2 linked regions of the Caenorhabditis elegans genome follow. The protein of the gene in region 2 interacts with the protein of the main gene of each other region in a pairwise test. Each region holds a gene or a part of one and is shown on either strand. Other genes may lie near its edges.

Evidence for each region.
Region 1: the proteins of bli-4 (region 2) and ttm-1 interact in a two-hybrid assay, tested with the Caenorhabditis elegans proteins (one large-scale study listed by BioGRID).

What each region holds. Positions count from the first base shown.
Region 1 is NC_003281.10:12,952,421-12,960,338, forward strand, and holds ttm-1 (Zinc transporter ttm-1), read right to left. Parts: upstream 4,752-7,918; 5' UTR 4,593-4,751; coding exon 4,302-4,592; intron 2,914-4,301; coding exon 2,121-2,913; intron 934-2,120; coding exon 785-933; 3' UTR 549-784; downstream 1-548. UniProt on the Caenorhabditis elegans protein: Promotes excretion of zinc from intestinal cells into the intestinal lumen in response to increased dietary zinc. Involved in cadmium resistance, possibly by promoting its transport from cells.
Region 2 is NC_003279.8:6,337,486-6,345,403, forward strand, and holds the start of bli-4 (Endoprotease bli-4), read left to right. Parts: upstream 1-4,739; 5' UTR 4,740-4,875; intron 4,876-4,923; 5' UTR 4,924-4,951; coding exon 4,952-5,032; intron 5,033-5,076; coding exon 5,077-5,364; intron 5,365-5,471; coding exon 5,472-5,615; intron 5,616-5,675; coding exon 5,676-5,881; intron 5,882-5,936; coding exon 5,937-6,254; intron 6,255-6,299; coding exon 6,300-6,380; intron 6,381-6,489; coding exon 6,490-6,666; intron 6,667-6,717; coding exon 6,718-6,945; intron 6,946-6,991; coding exon 6,992-7,101; intron 7,102-7,153; coding exon 7,154-7,360; intron 7,361-7,918. UniProt on the Caenorhabditis elegans protein: Serine endoprotease which cleaves proproteins at paired basic amino acids at the consensus RX(K/R)R motif. Involved in N-terminal processing of cuticle collagens and plays a role in cuticle biosynthesis.

The sequences.
Region 1 (7,918 bases), on a different chromosome or scaffold from region 2:
TTTCAATAAAAACTATTGATTTTTCAACAAAAAATAATATTGATTTTCTTTCAGTGTTCGATTTTTCAGGAATACAATTATCGATTTATTTTAAATTATTGATTTTTCATAGATTATCGATTATTTTTTAAATATTGAAAAAAAATGATCGATTTTCAAACATTGAGCCATAATGAATTTTTGATTTTTTAAATATTGATTTTTCATAGATTATCGATTTTTTTTTAAATATTGATTTTCTAAAATTATCAATTTTTAAAAATACTGGTTTTATAAGATTTATCAATTAAAAAACTGATTCGTAGCAAATTAACAATGTTTCAAAAATAGAGATTTTTTTATAAACAATCGATTTTTTAATTATTGATTTTCTATAAACTATCGATTTTTTGAAAATATCAATTTTCAAAAAAATGATCGATTTTTAGAATATTGATTTTTCGAATATTACTGACTTTCTATTAATTATCGATTTTTCAGAAATATTGATTTTGAATAAATTATTGATTTTTTAATATTTCGATTTTCTTTCAAAAATTTCAAAAAAAAAAAATTAAAGCCATTTATTATCGATTTGACAGGATTGGACAGTAAGGAAAAATATGAACATTAGTAGGCATCTCTGGATGTGCCAAATGAATACAACCCGTGTGAGTAGGTCAAAAAACTGACAGGAAAAGTCGAGAAAAGTAAACGTTTTGAAAAAAATGAAATTGATTGGAAAAAAAAAACGTAGAAGTTTGCCCGTATCGTAATAGATTAGAAGAACGATGGAGGACTGGAATCAAGCAGTTTCCTGTTGTTGACACGTGTCACAGGAATCGATTTTCTCGTCGAACGGCTCCACTTGGACAGTGGCGACGGCAACTCCGAATCGCCGGCGGATCAGGGAACGGGCTTCGGCAACATTTTCCATGGCGCGGTTAGGAGATTCTGGAATATTGGAAGAGTTAGAAAAATATATTTTTATTAAATATTAAAATTCAATATCATGAAAGGCAGCACTTTTCCCTTGCAGAACATTCCAGGAAATTTCCAGAAAACTTTGAATTTCCCGCCAAAATTGTTTCTCAAAAAATTTGAATTTCCCTTCAAAATTCTCATTTAAAAATTTGAATTTCCCACCAAAAATCATTGGAAAAAATTGAATTTTTTTGCCAATTTTTTTAGAGCACATCTGAATTTTTTTTCAAAAGTTTCATTTAAAAAATTTGAATTTCTCGCCAAAACTGTTATTGAAAATTTTGAATTTATCTTCAAAACTTCAATAGCACGTGGTGTCAGGCTGTCTCATTGCGGCTTGATCTACTACAAATGCGGGAATATTTTTACAGAAAAATTGTCAGCACGCTCTTAACCATGCGAAGTCAGATGAGATGTATGCGTCTCAACTCCCGCATTTTTTGAAGATCAAATCGAAATAAGACATTCTGACCCCACGTGCAACAGAGAGACAATTTGAATTTCCTGCCAAAAAATTTTTAAAGGAAAACTCGATTTCCCGGCAAATTTTTCGAAAGAAAATTGTTTGAATTCCCGCCAAAAATTTTATAGCCAAAGTTTGAATTTGCCGCCAAAACTAACAGTTTAAAATTTTGAATTTCCCGCCAAAATTCCTATAAAAAATGTTCGAATTTCCCGTTAAAAATTATTCTCAGAAGATTTAAATTTCCTCCAAAATCTTTATATCAAAACTTTGAATTTCCCGCCAAAAATTATTCAGAAAATTTAAATTTCATTCAAAGTTTTTCAGAGAAAATTTGAAATTTTTAAAATCCAATTTTTGCTCTAAATTGAATTTCCCTTCAAAATTTTCATTTAAAATTTTGAATTTCCGGCCAAAAATTGATTGAATAAATTTGCATTTATATCCACAATATATATTTAAATTATTTGAATTTCCCGGTAGAAACTTCAATGGAAAAATTTGAATTCCCCGCCAAAATTATTTTTTAAAAATTTGAAATTCCCGGCAAACATTTTTAAAAGTAAATTTGAATTCCCGCCAAAATAACTATTGAAAAATTTGAATTCCCGCCAAAATCTTTATTGAAAAATTTCAATTTTCCGCCAAAATTTTCTCAGTTTTACTCAAAACTCCAAAATGAGAAGCCACTCACCAAGTGCCAAATGCACCGAAAACGCAGTCTTATCCATTCCAATAGACCATAAATGCAAATCATGAACACCTTTTACACCTTCCAACGCACTCAACGCCTTCTTCACATCACTCAAGTCATAGTGGCTCGGTGTGGCTTCCATCAAAACGAAAAAGATGTCCCGCATAACTGTAACCGTCGTGAAGAGCACGATAATCGAGAAAAGGAATGTGCAAATCGGATCGGCAAGTGTCCATCCGGTAAACCTAATGATAAGGGCAGCAATCAGGACTCCAATGGATTGCACCAAATCTCCAATGACATGAATCAGAGCAGCTCTAACATTCACATTCTTTCCATCATGAGCATGTCCATGACTTGAGTGTCCTCCATGAGTGTGCCCATGACCTCCAGTTCCGAAGTGCAACACCAATCCCATAACGATATTAAAAAGGACTCCGACGCCCGCGGTGATGAGCATCACATCAGCATCCACCTCATGCTCATTGTTCACAATTCGCTGAATAGCGACGACGACGAGCACTGTCGTGAGCACCCAGAGAATGATCACAGACGTCAGAGCACCAAGAACTTCGGCTCGCTCGTAACCGAATGAAAGACGCTTCGATGCGGGAAGACGTGCACAACGAATCGCAAAAATTGAGATGATGAATGAGAGAAGATCACTGAGCATGTGTCCGGCGTCTGTCATAATTGCTAGCGATTGAGCCCAGAATCCACCGACGAACTCGGCGGCGATGAAGACTGCGGATAGTGCTGCAACTGCCCATAGCACTTTTTCTGCTCGGCGACCCTGGAAACGAGAAATATTAGTTGGAAAATCCAAACAAAAAATTTTATGTCCATTTTTTTTTTGGCGAAAAAATGTTTTTTTTTAAAGTTATACACTGTGTTTTTAAAAAAATTACTACTAAAATTGTGCGGTAACACTGAATTCTGAGAATGCATGTGGTGCCAGGCTGTCTGTCCCATTACGGTTTGATCTACAAAAAATGCGGGAATATTTTGCCCAAAAAATGTGACGTCAGCACGAACTCTGCGTCTCTTCTCCCGCATTTTTTGTAGATCTACGTAGATAAAGCCGAAATGAGACATTCTGACATCACGTGAGACTGCGTATTGCACAACATATCTGACGCGCAAAATATCTCGTAGTAATTCAGTAATTCAATAAATTACTACTTTAGCGCAGTTTTTCTTTGCTTTTTCGTATTATCTTTGTTTTCATTCTTTGCTTAATTTTGATATTATATCGATAAATCTATGAACATAGAGCCGCGTAAATCGACACTACAGTAGTCATTCAAAGAATTACTGTAGTTTTCGCGTCGAAATATTTTGCGCGTCAAATAATGTTTTGATTTTTTCAGAAAAATATTCAAATGTATAAATTCTTGTCATATTTTTTGCGTTTTTTTTTCGCATTTTTGTCAAAAAAACGTCCCGCTAACTGAAAAATGCCTTGATTTTTATATATTTCAAATAAAATTGCAATTTTTCAAGAACATTTTCAGGGAAACTAATTTAAATTTGGAAAAAAAATCAGTTATTGAAATTTTCGACACTTTTCCAATATTTTTCAACATTTTAGGATGAAATATTCAATTCACAGGAAGTCGTCGTATTGCTAGATATTTGTGGGCGGCAAACGATTTTTTCCGGCAAATCGCCAAATTGCCGGAATTGAAAATTTTTGGCAAATCGGCAAATCGACAAATTGCCGGAATTGAAATTTCCGGCAAATCGACAAATTGCCGGAATTGAAAATTTCCGGCAAATCGACAAATTGCCGAAATTGAACATTTCTGGCAAATCGACAAATTGCCGGCAAATCGGCAAATCGACAAATTGCCGGAATTGAAAATTGCCGGCAAATCGGCGAATTGCCGGAATTGGAAATTTCCGACAAATCGTCAAATTACCGGAATTGAAAATTTCCGGCAAATCGGCAAATTGCCGGAGTTGAAAATTTCCTCTGATATGTATAATTGCGAGCTCGTGTTTTGGCTTGATTTTAAAAAAAACACATTTTTATGCTAAAATGGTCGATTTTGGGCTTTTTACATAGATAGCAATAATTAAAATTAAAAGCAACATTTTTTGAAAAATTTAGTTTTAATATAATGGTCATTTTAATAGAGGTAAAAGTTGAGCCATGTTGCAAAAAAATTTGCTATGTACCTTTTGATATTTCTCATCATGACTATGCTTATGCGCTCCTCCTCCTGCTCCACTACAATCCGAAGAGGAATCATCATTATTGTGTGTGTGTGAGTGCCCATGACCCCCATGAGAGTGCCCATGCCCATGACCGTGATGATGGTGGTCAATAGAGTCGGCAGATACTCCAGAATCCGAAGAGGACACCGACTGGGTGTCCTCTTCGATGTTGGCGGGCAGGTTGGATGAGGAAGAGTCACGTTTGTCACTGGATAGGCGGATTGATGACGGAGATATCATTGAGATTGTCATAGTTCTAGAGATTTCAAAAAATATATTTAACGGGAATTAAGAGAAATGAGTACGGCACGTGTATGTGTGTCAGGCTGTCCCATCAAGGTTTGATCTACCAAAAATTCCCGCAATTTTTGTAGATTTTCGTAGATCAAAACGACGTGGGACACTCTGACAAGAGCAGCGAAATTTCAAAATGAAAAACTTAGTTACTTAGTTCCGCGATTTTTTTTGTTGTCCCCTTTCAAAGAACAACACAAAGACTGGGGAGCGGTGGAATGCGTTTTGACAAACAAATAAACAAGACAAAAATGGGGTGAAAAAAGAGAATAAGGAACACAATAAACAGGAGAATAGGAAAAGGAAATGGAGAACAAAATTGAATATGGGAAAACGTTCTGGCTGATAGGAAAAAAAGGAAAAAAATTGAGTGGGAAGGAAGGTCGCAAGATTTTTTTATGCAAATTTTTAAAAATCAAAGATCTTTCGAGTCATGCAGGAATTTGTTTTTTTTTTGGATATGAAGCTCCAAGAGCTCCGCGAGCCAGCTTACTTTTGGACGTATTTCAATAGAAATACATTTTTTTCTAAAATTAGATTCTTATGAAAAAGTTAGTACTTTGAATTGAAAAATTCGAAGGTTTTCAGTGCATTTTTTAAAGTTTCAAAGCCAGTGAAATTTCGTGAATATTTTCAAAATCTGTATTTTTTTGGATTTTTTTCCAAAAAATTTTTTTTTAATTTTCAGTTATTTTTCAAAAAATACCGACTTAAATGCCAGATTTTTTTTCTTCAAATTTCATCGTTTAATTCAAAAAAAATCCGGCAATTTTTAGATTAAAAAGAATAGAAAAAAAAATATTTTTTGCCTTAAAAAAGTTTAGAAAATTTTCAAAAAATCGAAAAATTTTATATTTTATTTTTCAAAAATACAATTTCTGAAAAAAACCTCAAGTGGTTCTTAAATTAGGTAAACATTTAATTTTAAGCTTCTACAACTTTTATGAAAAAAATTTTGACATAAAATTTTCAAAAAAAAATCAGTTTTAACAAGATAAAAAGAAATTAGCTTGAAAACTCCGCTTTGCACAAATTTTTAAGTTTTTTGGAAAAAAATTCCAGGAAAAAGTTATATGAAAAACCAAAAAATTCATGCCAAAAGTTCAAAAAAGCAAAAAAGCAAACAAATTCTTACAAAAAATTGGAAACTTTTCAACAGAAAAAAAAACTTCAAAAAAAATTCTTATTGCTTTCTGCAAAGCAATAAGAATTGCAAGACTGAAAATGTGAGGCATTCAAAAAAAATTCACAAGCGCATAATAAGAAACACGAGGAGAGAGATTATAGATAGTCAATGAAGGAAAAGCAGAAGAAGAACCAGATTGTATTTCCTGCCATCAAGCATCTATCTATCTAGCAAAAACGAGAGACTTGCAAGTGAAAAGTGAAGGAAAAAAAAAACGATTTTGATCTACCTCCCTGTAAACGAGGCGAAAGTGTAAAAATTATTGTTAAGCTACTGGGAATTTAATTAATTTTAATTTACAGACTTTGGCAGACTTCTAGAAAATAAAAAGGTGAAACAAAACTTTGGTCAAGATCGTTTGATGTGCCGTTTATGTAGGCGAGAGATGGACATAAGACTGCCTCTAAATGGTCTTCTGAATTCAAAAAGACACAAATTCTATGTCTTGAACTTCAAAAAATAAGTTGAGAAAATGTAAAGATCAAGTATTTTGTGTTTTCATCCATCAAAAATCCTTCAAAAATCTCAGAAAAAAGTTGTTGAAAATTTGAATTTTTTGGGGTCGAATTTCCGGTATTCTCTACTTTTTGGCTACATTATTATTTTTTCGACAAACTCCCAGAAAAGTTGTGGAAACTAGGGAGGAACTACAAAAAAAAAGGTACAAATTTTCAGGGCTTGAATTGAACTTTTTCAAACTAGTTGGGGAAAGAAGGAGTCAACAAAATAATTAGTGATTTTTTAGAACTCATCAGAATTTTTACAAAAACATTTTACTTAGGCTTAAGATGAGGCTAATGCTTAGGCTTAGGCGTAGGCCTAGGCTTAGGCTTAAGCTTCAAATTAATTTGTGTTCAAAAATTGTGATCTACAAGATTCTTAGGAAAAAAATAAGAATCCTTTAAAAAAATCATCTTCTGATCGCTTGATCTCTGATTTTAATACAATTTATATATAAAAAAAATATTATTAGATGCCCTTTAAAAGGCTCATGTGATAACATAAGTAGCAACAATATCACGTGGAAAAATATTAGGTAATTTAAAAATATTTTCTAGAGAACTGAAGAAAGCAATAAAAGTGCAGAAAATGTGAAACGGAAATTGTTTCGAAAAAAGACAAAAAAAGAAAGAAAAAAAGGAGGCCGAGATGATTTACACACCTCCCACACATATGAGAAACTAGTTTTTTTTTGTTGGAAAAATGATAGAGTTGAGACAAAAAAAAAGAGAGATCAAGTAAAGTGAAAAGGACGTAATGTGAACCGAACTCTTTATCAGTATAGGTGTCTTAAAAAAGTGTCAGCATTTTCGTGATTAAATGTCGGGGCTTTTTCATAAAATTTATATACATGTCGACGGAGGAGGAGGAGGAGTGAAAGTGTGATAAGGGGGAGACGTCATTCTAGTTTGTGATACAGTTTCGTGAAATGTATTCCGGAGAAGTACTGCAATTAGAAATGACCTTATTAGGAGTGTGCGGCAATTGTGGCGAATTTGCCGCAAACACCTCAAATTGGATTTTAAAAAATTGACCGAAACTATTGATTTTGTTCAAAAAATTATAGTAAAAAAACATAAAATTGAGGTATTCAAAAATTAAACTTGTGCTAAGAATTTAGTAATTTTGGAGCTCCTAGAAATATCATTAAAACTTTTTAAAATTTTTTTTTGGAGTTTGCCGAGCTGGGCAAATTTTGACTCCTTATGATGGCTCAAAGAGCTTCAAAATTTAAAAATCTTGCCAAGGTCAGCGAGTTCACTCACAAAACTTATAGGATTAGTGAAAGGTTACTGTAAGAGCGCTTAGTAACGTAACCTGTGCAAAAAGATCTACTTTTAGCCACAGCGACCATGTCGTATTTTCTATATTAGTCTCGCACTTAAAGGTGCTTTAGTCAATTTTTTAAAAATTGCTTTATTAGACTCTATATTGTTTGAAAACACGAAATTTCATAATTAAACTTCTTTAAAACTTCTCAAAAAAAAGGTTATGGCGGCTCAAAAAATGACTTAAAATAGGTTAAAATTTGAAATTTGACAGACTTGTCAAGCGGCTGGAAACTATTTTTTTTTGAAATCACCGTCTAATTTTAGGT
Region 2 (7,918 bases):
ATTTCTCATCATTTCCTCATATTGTTTATTTTCTAGGAGAAATGTGGAAAACCGAGGGTAATTGGCCTCAGTTCTCAGCAGTTTTCTGCCTTTTTCTTTTCTTTTTTTCTTTTTTTATTTCGATTCGGGAAAAATATTTCCAGACTATAACTTTATGATTTTCAGATCAAAACGGATGACTCACTGTGACTGTTTATCAGTTATTTTTAACCTGAATCTTTGACCAGAAGAATGAATCAAATGTCAACCCCACATAATCATAAGAACAAGGCAGAAGAAAGAGCAAAATTTAATAGAAATAAGCACAGAAAGTGAAGCGATTTCAAATTGAAAAAGTATATAAATCAAAAAGGTTTGAGACAAGGAAAGAGATAAAAGAGAAAGAAAAGTGTGGCCTACTTATCCAATCCTTGATTTTTCCATTTATCTGTTTTGACCTATTTTCTGGTGTTTCAAAGAAGTTTTAGTTTGAATGGGTGTCACAATATAATTTTAATGTTTTTAATATTGTAAAAATTGTTTGTTATGCTCAATCTGATTTTCCAATAGCTTTCCAGCTCTTTTTGATTCTCATTTATTTAAAATGATATTTTTCAGTATTTATGACCCTATAAACTTCTCTGAAATTTATAAATTTTCACATTGGTGGCGGTTTTATGGATATACACTTATGGTGTATATCCATACACTCATAATAAAAACTCTAGTCGGCATTTTTGAAAATTAGAGAAACTTTTGCATGTTTGAATTTGAACCCCAATACTTTCGAATAAAGCATTTATAACAAAATTAAGATCCATATTTACTCCCCATTTTTAGACTTCAAATTTGAAAAATTGGCACACTGGCGCTACTCCACATTTCATTTGTATATTTAAAGTAAGCCTCATGTATACCATATGACTGCCTACCACGTGTCAACTGGCAATTACTGTCATAGTGAGAAATGCGTTAACACAGTTCACCTCATCAAAATTCAGAAGGCATACGGTAGGCATGCACATAGGTAGGTAGAAGGCAAATACTTTTCTAGTGATAAGATATTCATGCTGTATGCTTTTATATTTCGCAACATTTTCTTAATTCTCGCAGTGACTATCCTTTTATCGTCTTTTCTCGGTTCGGTTCCTTTTTCTTTTCTTTTTTTTTCATCCTTCATCCCATTCAATCTTCTCCATTTTCGATTTGAATCTAACAGGTTCTTTGCATCTTTTTCATCTCTCACTGCTTCTTCTTTTTTCTCTTTCTGATTCAAAACTGTTACTGTCACTCAGTTCCTATCCCTCCTCACAGTAACATTTGTTGTGTGTGTGTTTTGTTGGCTTTACAGCCAAATCGAGGAATTGTACGAGAGATGATAAGGAATTGAGAGGGATTAGAGAAAATGAGAAGCGTATGCATGTATGTGTCATATTCACTGCATATTTTATCACTTTTCTCTTCTTTTCTCCACTTTTTTCTGATATACACAGCTGATTTCTGTAGATTTGAAGCAATTACGATAAGAGAGCACAATGAAGTGCTCTTGAGATTTCATTAGCTCTTCCAATTTGTCTGAGAAATCCAAATTTCACGGTCATCTATGGCGTCACATGTGTGCTACATAATGTTTCTTTCCAGGTTATTTCGGCCCTAAATTTTAGATTATCTGCACTTTTCCGATTTTGATCTACAGAAAATGTGCCAGACTTCCAAGTGTGAATTCCATGTGAAGTCGCACTATGGAGGACTCAATTTTCGACTGCGTATACTAGCCGCAATTTCTGGAAATCATACTTAGATTACTTAACTTCAAAAACAACTTTTCAACCTAAACTTTATTCTTCCATTATGATGTCACCAGGTACTTTCCCAAATAACCAATCATCAAAATCCAATTGACTTTGTTCAAAAAGTCAAAATCATAACCTGTATTAATAATTATTTATTAATAAATCTTGAGATATAAATCTCAAAAATTCCTTCTTTCCCCCTAATCAATTGTGAATCTTTAATGATAGTCGTCTAGTTTGATTAATGTGATCTGTGTATAACTGGTGGCCAATATCAGTTTCTGGTGATCAATGTTTTGTTAACTTTTTCTAGTTTAGATCGAGCTCGAACTAGGTAACGTGATGAAAATTGTGTCGAATGCTTTCTGCCAAAATGGGAAAACCTATATAAAATGTGTTAATAAACTGGTGTTTTTTATTTCTATGCTAAGCTTCCTCGAAATAGATAAACATCGGGCAAGGATTTTTGTTGGGTTTTTAATGATTTCATAACGGGAAAACGTTATGAAATCATTAGAAACCCAACAAAAATCCTTACCCGATCCTATAAGTCCATCGAGCCAATTTTCGAAAAAATAACGGTGTTTGTACTTGTCACGGCCACGTAGTAAGCATCGAGAGTTGTATTATAATGTTGTTAAAATTTTAAAATTTTTAGTGTTGTACTTTTGTTTTCAGGCGCGAACCTTTTTTGGCGAGATAGATCGACAAAAAACCAAAATCCAATTCCAATCTTTTTTTTCTCGCCAACCCAAACATCCCCCATTTTTTGACAAAAACATAACCGGTTTTTTTATTTAATCTATTAAAAATTCAGCGAGCGAGGTAAAGATTAGTCATGGTATTTCCCCCATTTAAATCTCGACGCAATCTGTTTCTTTCTCTTTACTCTTACCTTTTCTTTTTTTCAATTTTCTCATCTCGCGTCCGCCCAACAGAAACCATGATGATCAAGTTGACCTCGAACTGTGTACCGTTCTTCTATTGAATAAGAGAGATCTCCGTCTACTCACTACTCTCACAAGAGTATTTCTGTTCACTATTCTTTTTTTCTCTGAACTTCTGTGACTGAATGCACTCTCGGCACCAAATGAGAGAGATGCCTTACGAGGGCGCGTACTTCCTTTTACCTACATGTATGTCTACCGAAACAAACAATATGAGGCAAATTTTCATGGCTTTTGCTAATTTCACTTTCATAGTCCCTGTTACAAGCATATTATTTAGGTCAGGTGCTTGAAGTTTCAATTGATAATTTTGAGAATTTGTAAACTCGTCTAGTAATTTAAAACTCATTCAGATTCTGTATAATGTAACACAAAATCGAAATTCAGGTAAAGCTCGATTATCCGGTCCCGACAAGACAAATTTGTGTTAAATGCAAAAGAGTATGCGTCTTCAAAGAGTACTGTAGTTTCTACCTCTGCCGTTTTGATTGAGTTTCAATAGTTTTTCTCCCGATTCCTAAAAATTGCATGTGTTTATTTTAGTTTTTCAGTAGAGATTAAATTCGTTTTCCATCGAAAACTCCGTATCAAAGATCAATGAAGTTTCCGCAGCTACGAGGAGTTCGAGGTTACAGTACTCTTTAAAGGCGCACACCCATTCACATTTAACAGAACATTTTCGTTTCGAGACCGGCTACCGTATATATGGGGCAAAATGTTGCATTTTAACGCTCCTCATCGTCAATTTTCCCTGTCTAATTTATTTAGAGTGCTTTTAAAGTTAACTTTGAAAATATTATTAGAGAGTGACTGTGATGGGCAAACAGTCTAACGGAACAATCTTTCATTCCTCGACAATTGCTGAGTCTCGCCACGAACAAGTCAGAAGACATAGCATATTCTTGAGAAAAGCCTTCAGTCCGATTTCACTTTCCATTGTTCCTTCCTCTCACACGCCTTCAGCATCTTCTTCTTCTCGCCACAAGCTTCTCACTTTCCAATCGAATAAATAAATCGTGTTTGACCCATAGCGTGAAAATCCCATGAAATAACCTTTCGTTTTCTAACTTTTTTATTTGAACTTTGTTTTAATTGTTCCTAGTTTCTACATATTGTATTTCTCGAGAAATTTCTCTCATCTTGCCAGTAAAAAAGTGTGAGTAGAATTTTTTTGAACTTCTGAACGCAGCGCATTGGCTATATTTTAGTTTTGTGAGTAAAACTCTTGACCTCCAATTCGTCGAAAAACGGTTGTAAATTTTAGTACTATTACATCGGGCTCATGATATCTCAGGATAGAGTCTACCTGACAAAACAGAGGAAATCGGTATCGAATTGCAACAACAAAAAGTGCCAATCAAAATCTCCAATTTCTTTCAATTTTCTCAGACAGACTAGGCTAATTTTTATATTTTCTTACACTTGTCCTTTATGTCTTGAAATTTCTCGGTTTTTTTTCGATTTCGGTAGAAATATTACACTTTTAACCGGTTTGGAGATTAATTTTCAGCACAGCACAAGGCTGAACAAGTAAAACCGAGGTCAACGATAGATTGTGTTTCTTAATTTATTTTCAAATTATGACTTCTTTTTAAGATTTTGTGAAAAGTCAATTCTTGTGCGGAAATAAAAATTATTTTTTGGTCGTATCGTTTTTATCGATAGAGCGTATTTTCATGTGAAACACCACGGTGCGCAAATTGTATTTTATTCCGTAGAAACTCTTTTGTCGAGTTCAAACTCTGAAAACTTCTTATTTTTCCATTTTCTCGGCGTTAAAATTGCATATTTAATTTTTAAAACTTTTTTCTTTTTGTAGTATTCAGTTTTTATAATCGATCTCTCTAAATGCATCTAATTGCTTATTCCCCGAATGAGACTTTCCCAGTTTAGTAGTGCCTCCGATAGCCAATTTTAAACAAATATTCTGAAATTTTAATTTTTCTTGTTTTTCGCGAAAAAACTGTCATTTTCTTTATTATTCTCTTTTTTAACCGCTTTCCAAATTAATTCGGCTATTTTTCAGACGTTCGCTTCGGGTCGATGTCAGAATAAACGAAAAAGAATAACCCGTTGCACCCAGCGAATCGTCGAACATTTTCAATACTCACCCATATCAGTCACCCAAAACGGATTTATTATTATTATTAGAGCATGTGAGTTCGTTGAATTTGTGAATTTATTCTATAAATCTACAATTTCAGATCATCCACATTTATTCTCAAACGCGTGATGCGTATATCGATAGGCCGGATAGCATGGCAAATTCTGGCAGTTTTAATCGCAGTTGCATTCACTATTGAACATGATTCCGTAAGTTATTCAATCAACTCTAAAATACTTATTATACTTTTCAGATTTGCGATGAAAGTATAGGTGCCTGTGGGGAACCAATACATACCGTAATACGTTTAGCAAAAAGAGATGATGAGCTTGCACGGCGAATAGCTGCTGATCATGACATGCATGTAAAAGGTGATCCGTTTTTGGATACTCACTACTTCCTTTATCACTCGGAAACAACAAGGACACGGCGACATAAAAGAGCGATTGTTGAACGATTGGATTCACATCCAGCCGTCGAATGGGTTGAAGAACAGCGACCGAAGAAGAGAGTCAAAAGAGATTATATTCTCCTGGATAATGTTAGTTTTTTAGAAATATTCAACCTACATGATATTTATCCAGAATCATTACCGTTTTTCTTTTTATCTTAGCTTTAGAGTTTTTTCTGACAATTAATATTTTTCAGGATGTTCATCATTCTAACCCCTTCCGCCGTTCGGTTTTGAACCGTGATGGTACTCGTAGAGCTCAACGACAGCAGCCACAGTCTCCACGAGAAATTCCATCACTTCCATTTCCTGATCCACTTTATAAAGACCAGTGGTATTTGGTGAGTTTCAAATTCAAATTTTCTTTAAAGAGAAAAAAAAACCAACTGATACATTTACAGCATGGTGGAGCAGTTGGTGGATATGATATGAATGTTCGTCAAGCGTGGCTTCAAGGATATGCAGGCAGAAATGTTTCAGTTTCGATTCTTGACGATGGAATTCAAAGAGATCATCCTGATTTGGCAGCGAACTACGATCCACTCGCGTCAACAGATATCAATGATCACGATGATGATCCAACACCACAAAACAATGGAGATAACAAGTAAGAATTTTTAAACACATGTTCTTCAGAAATTTATGACATTTAATTGTTTTAGACATGGTACAAGATGTGCTGGAGAAGTAGCTGCACTCGCCGGAAACAATCAATGTGGTGTCGGTGTTGCCTTCAAAGCAAAAATAGGAGGAGTTCGTATGCTTGATGGAGCTGTTTCGGATTCTGTCGAAGCTGCGTCATTGTCTTTGAATCAAGATCATATTGATATATACTCAGCATCATGGGGACCTGAAGACGACGGAAAGACTTTTGATGGTCCAGGTCCACTTGCCCGAGAAGCTTTTTATCGTGGAATCAAGAATGGCAGAGGTGGAAAAGGAAACATTTTTGTATGGGCCAGTGGAAACGGTGGATCAAGGTATTTTAGTTTTGAAAAGAGAATTTTGTGAACAAGAATGTTTAGGCAAGACTCATGTTCAGCTGATGGTTACACAACTTCAGTCTACACGCTTTCCATATCTTCGGCTACTTATGATAATCACAGGTATGATTTTATATTACTATAAACCCTTAATTTGTCTGAATGAAAATTGATATTCTGAAGATAAAAAATGGATTTTCTACTATCAAATTCTTATTCTACTTGTCTACAGACCATGGTATTTGGAAGAATGCCCATCATCAATTGCAACAACATACAGTTCTGCGGATTTCCGTCAACCAGCAATTGTGACCGTTGATGTTCCTGGAGGATGTACTGATAAGCATACAGGAACTTCTGCGTCTGCTCCATTGGCAGCTGGAATTATTGCTCTTGCTTTAGAGGCTAAGTTAGTTTATTAATTCCAGAAAACTTGCTCACTGTTTTTTTTTAATTTCAGTCCTGAATTAACATGGCGTGATATGCAACATCTTGTTCTTCGAACCGCCAACTGGAAACCACTTGAGAATAATCCTGGATGGTCAAGAAATGGTGTTGGACGTATGGTTAGCAATAAATTCGGTTATGGTCTAATCGATGGTGGTGCACTTGTCAATATGGCAAAAACATGGAAGACAGTCCCAGAGCAGCACATTTGCACATATGAATACAGACTTGCTAATCCAAAGTAGGTTCAATCATAGATTTCTCTGGAAAAAATACGATCATTACAGTCCTCGGCCAATTGTGGGTCGTTTCCAACTTAATTTCACTTTAGATGTGAATGGATGCGAGTCAGGAACCCCTGTTTTATATTTGGAACACGTTCAAGTGCATGCTACTGGTCAGTTTTCAATTGATACTGTTCTCTACAAATCTTATCAAATTGAATTCAGTTCGATATCTGAAACGTGGCGATCTGAAGCTTACGCTCTTCTCACCATCCGGCACCCGATCGGTTCTTCTTCCACCACGACCACAAGATTTCAATGCTAACGGATTCCACAAGTGGCCTTTCCTTTCAGTCCAACAATGGGGAGAAGATCCACGTGGAACATGGCTTCTCATGGTGGAATCAGTCACCACTAATCCAGCTGCTACTGGTGAGAATTTATTTAAATGTATACACACACACACACACACACATCGAGAATACGCTAAGAAATGCATTATTTCTATCAGGACTGTTGCAAAAAAAATGTTCGACCAAAAAGTTTTTTATTTGAAATTTGGACCAAAAAACACGAATATATGAAAAAACCAACAAAAAAATCGATTTTCGATTTTAAACCGGACACAACGGAAATTTTTCATAAAACATTAAAATTTGAACGAACGGAAGGATTTTCGTTTTTCTTTTTTTTTTTAATGAAAAATCCATTTTTCCCAAAAAAACGACAGCTCTGATTTCTATTTAAAAAATATGTTCGCCTTTGAAGAGTACTGTAAGTTCAAACTTTTGTTGCTGCTGAATTTTGGTTGATTTTTTCATAGTTTTTCAATAAGACCATATTTATTTATTTAAAAAAAACGCAAATTTTTAGCGGTTAACAAAAATTTGTCGTGCTGAGACCGGTTTCGATACTTCTGGCGTAAAATTTCGTGACTAGGTAATAGTAAAAAATTCAAAATTGAAGCGAAAAATTTCCCTATAAATATTT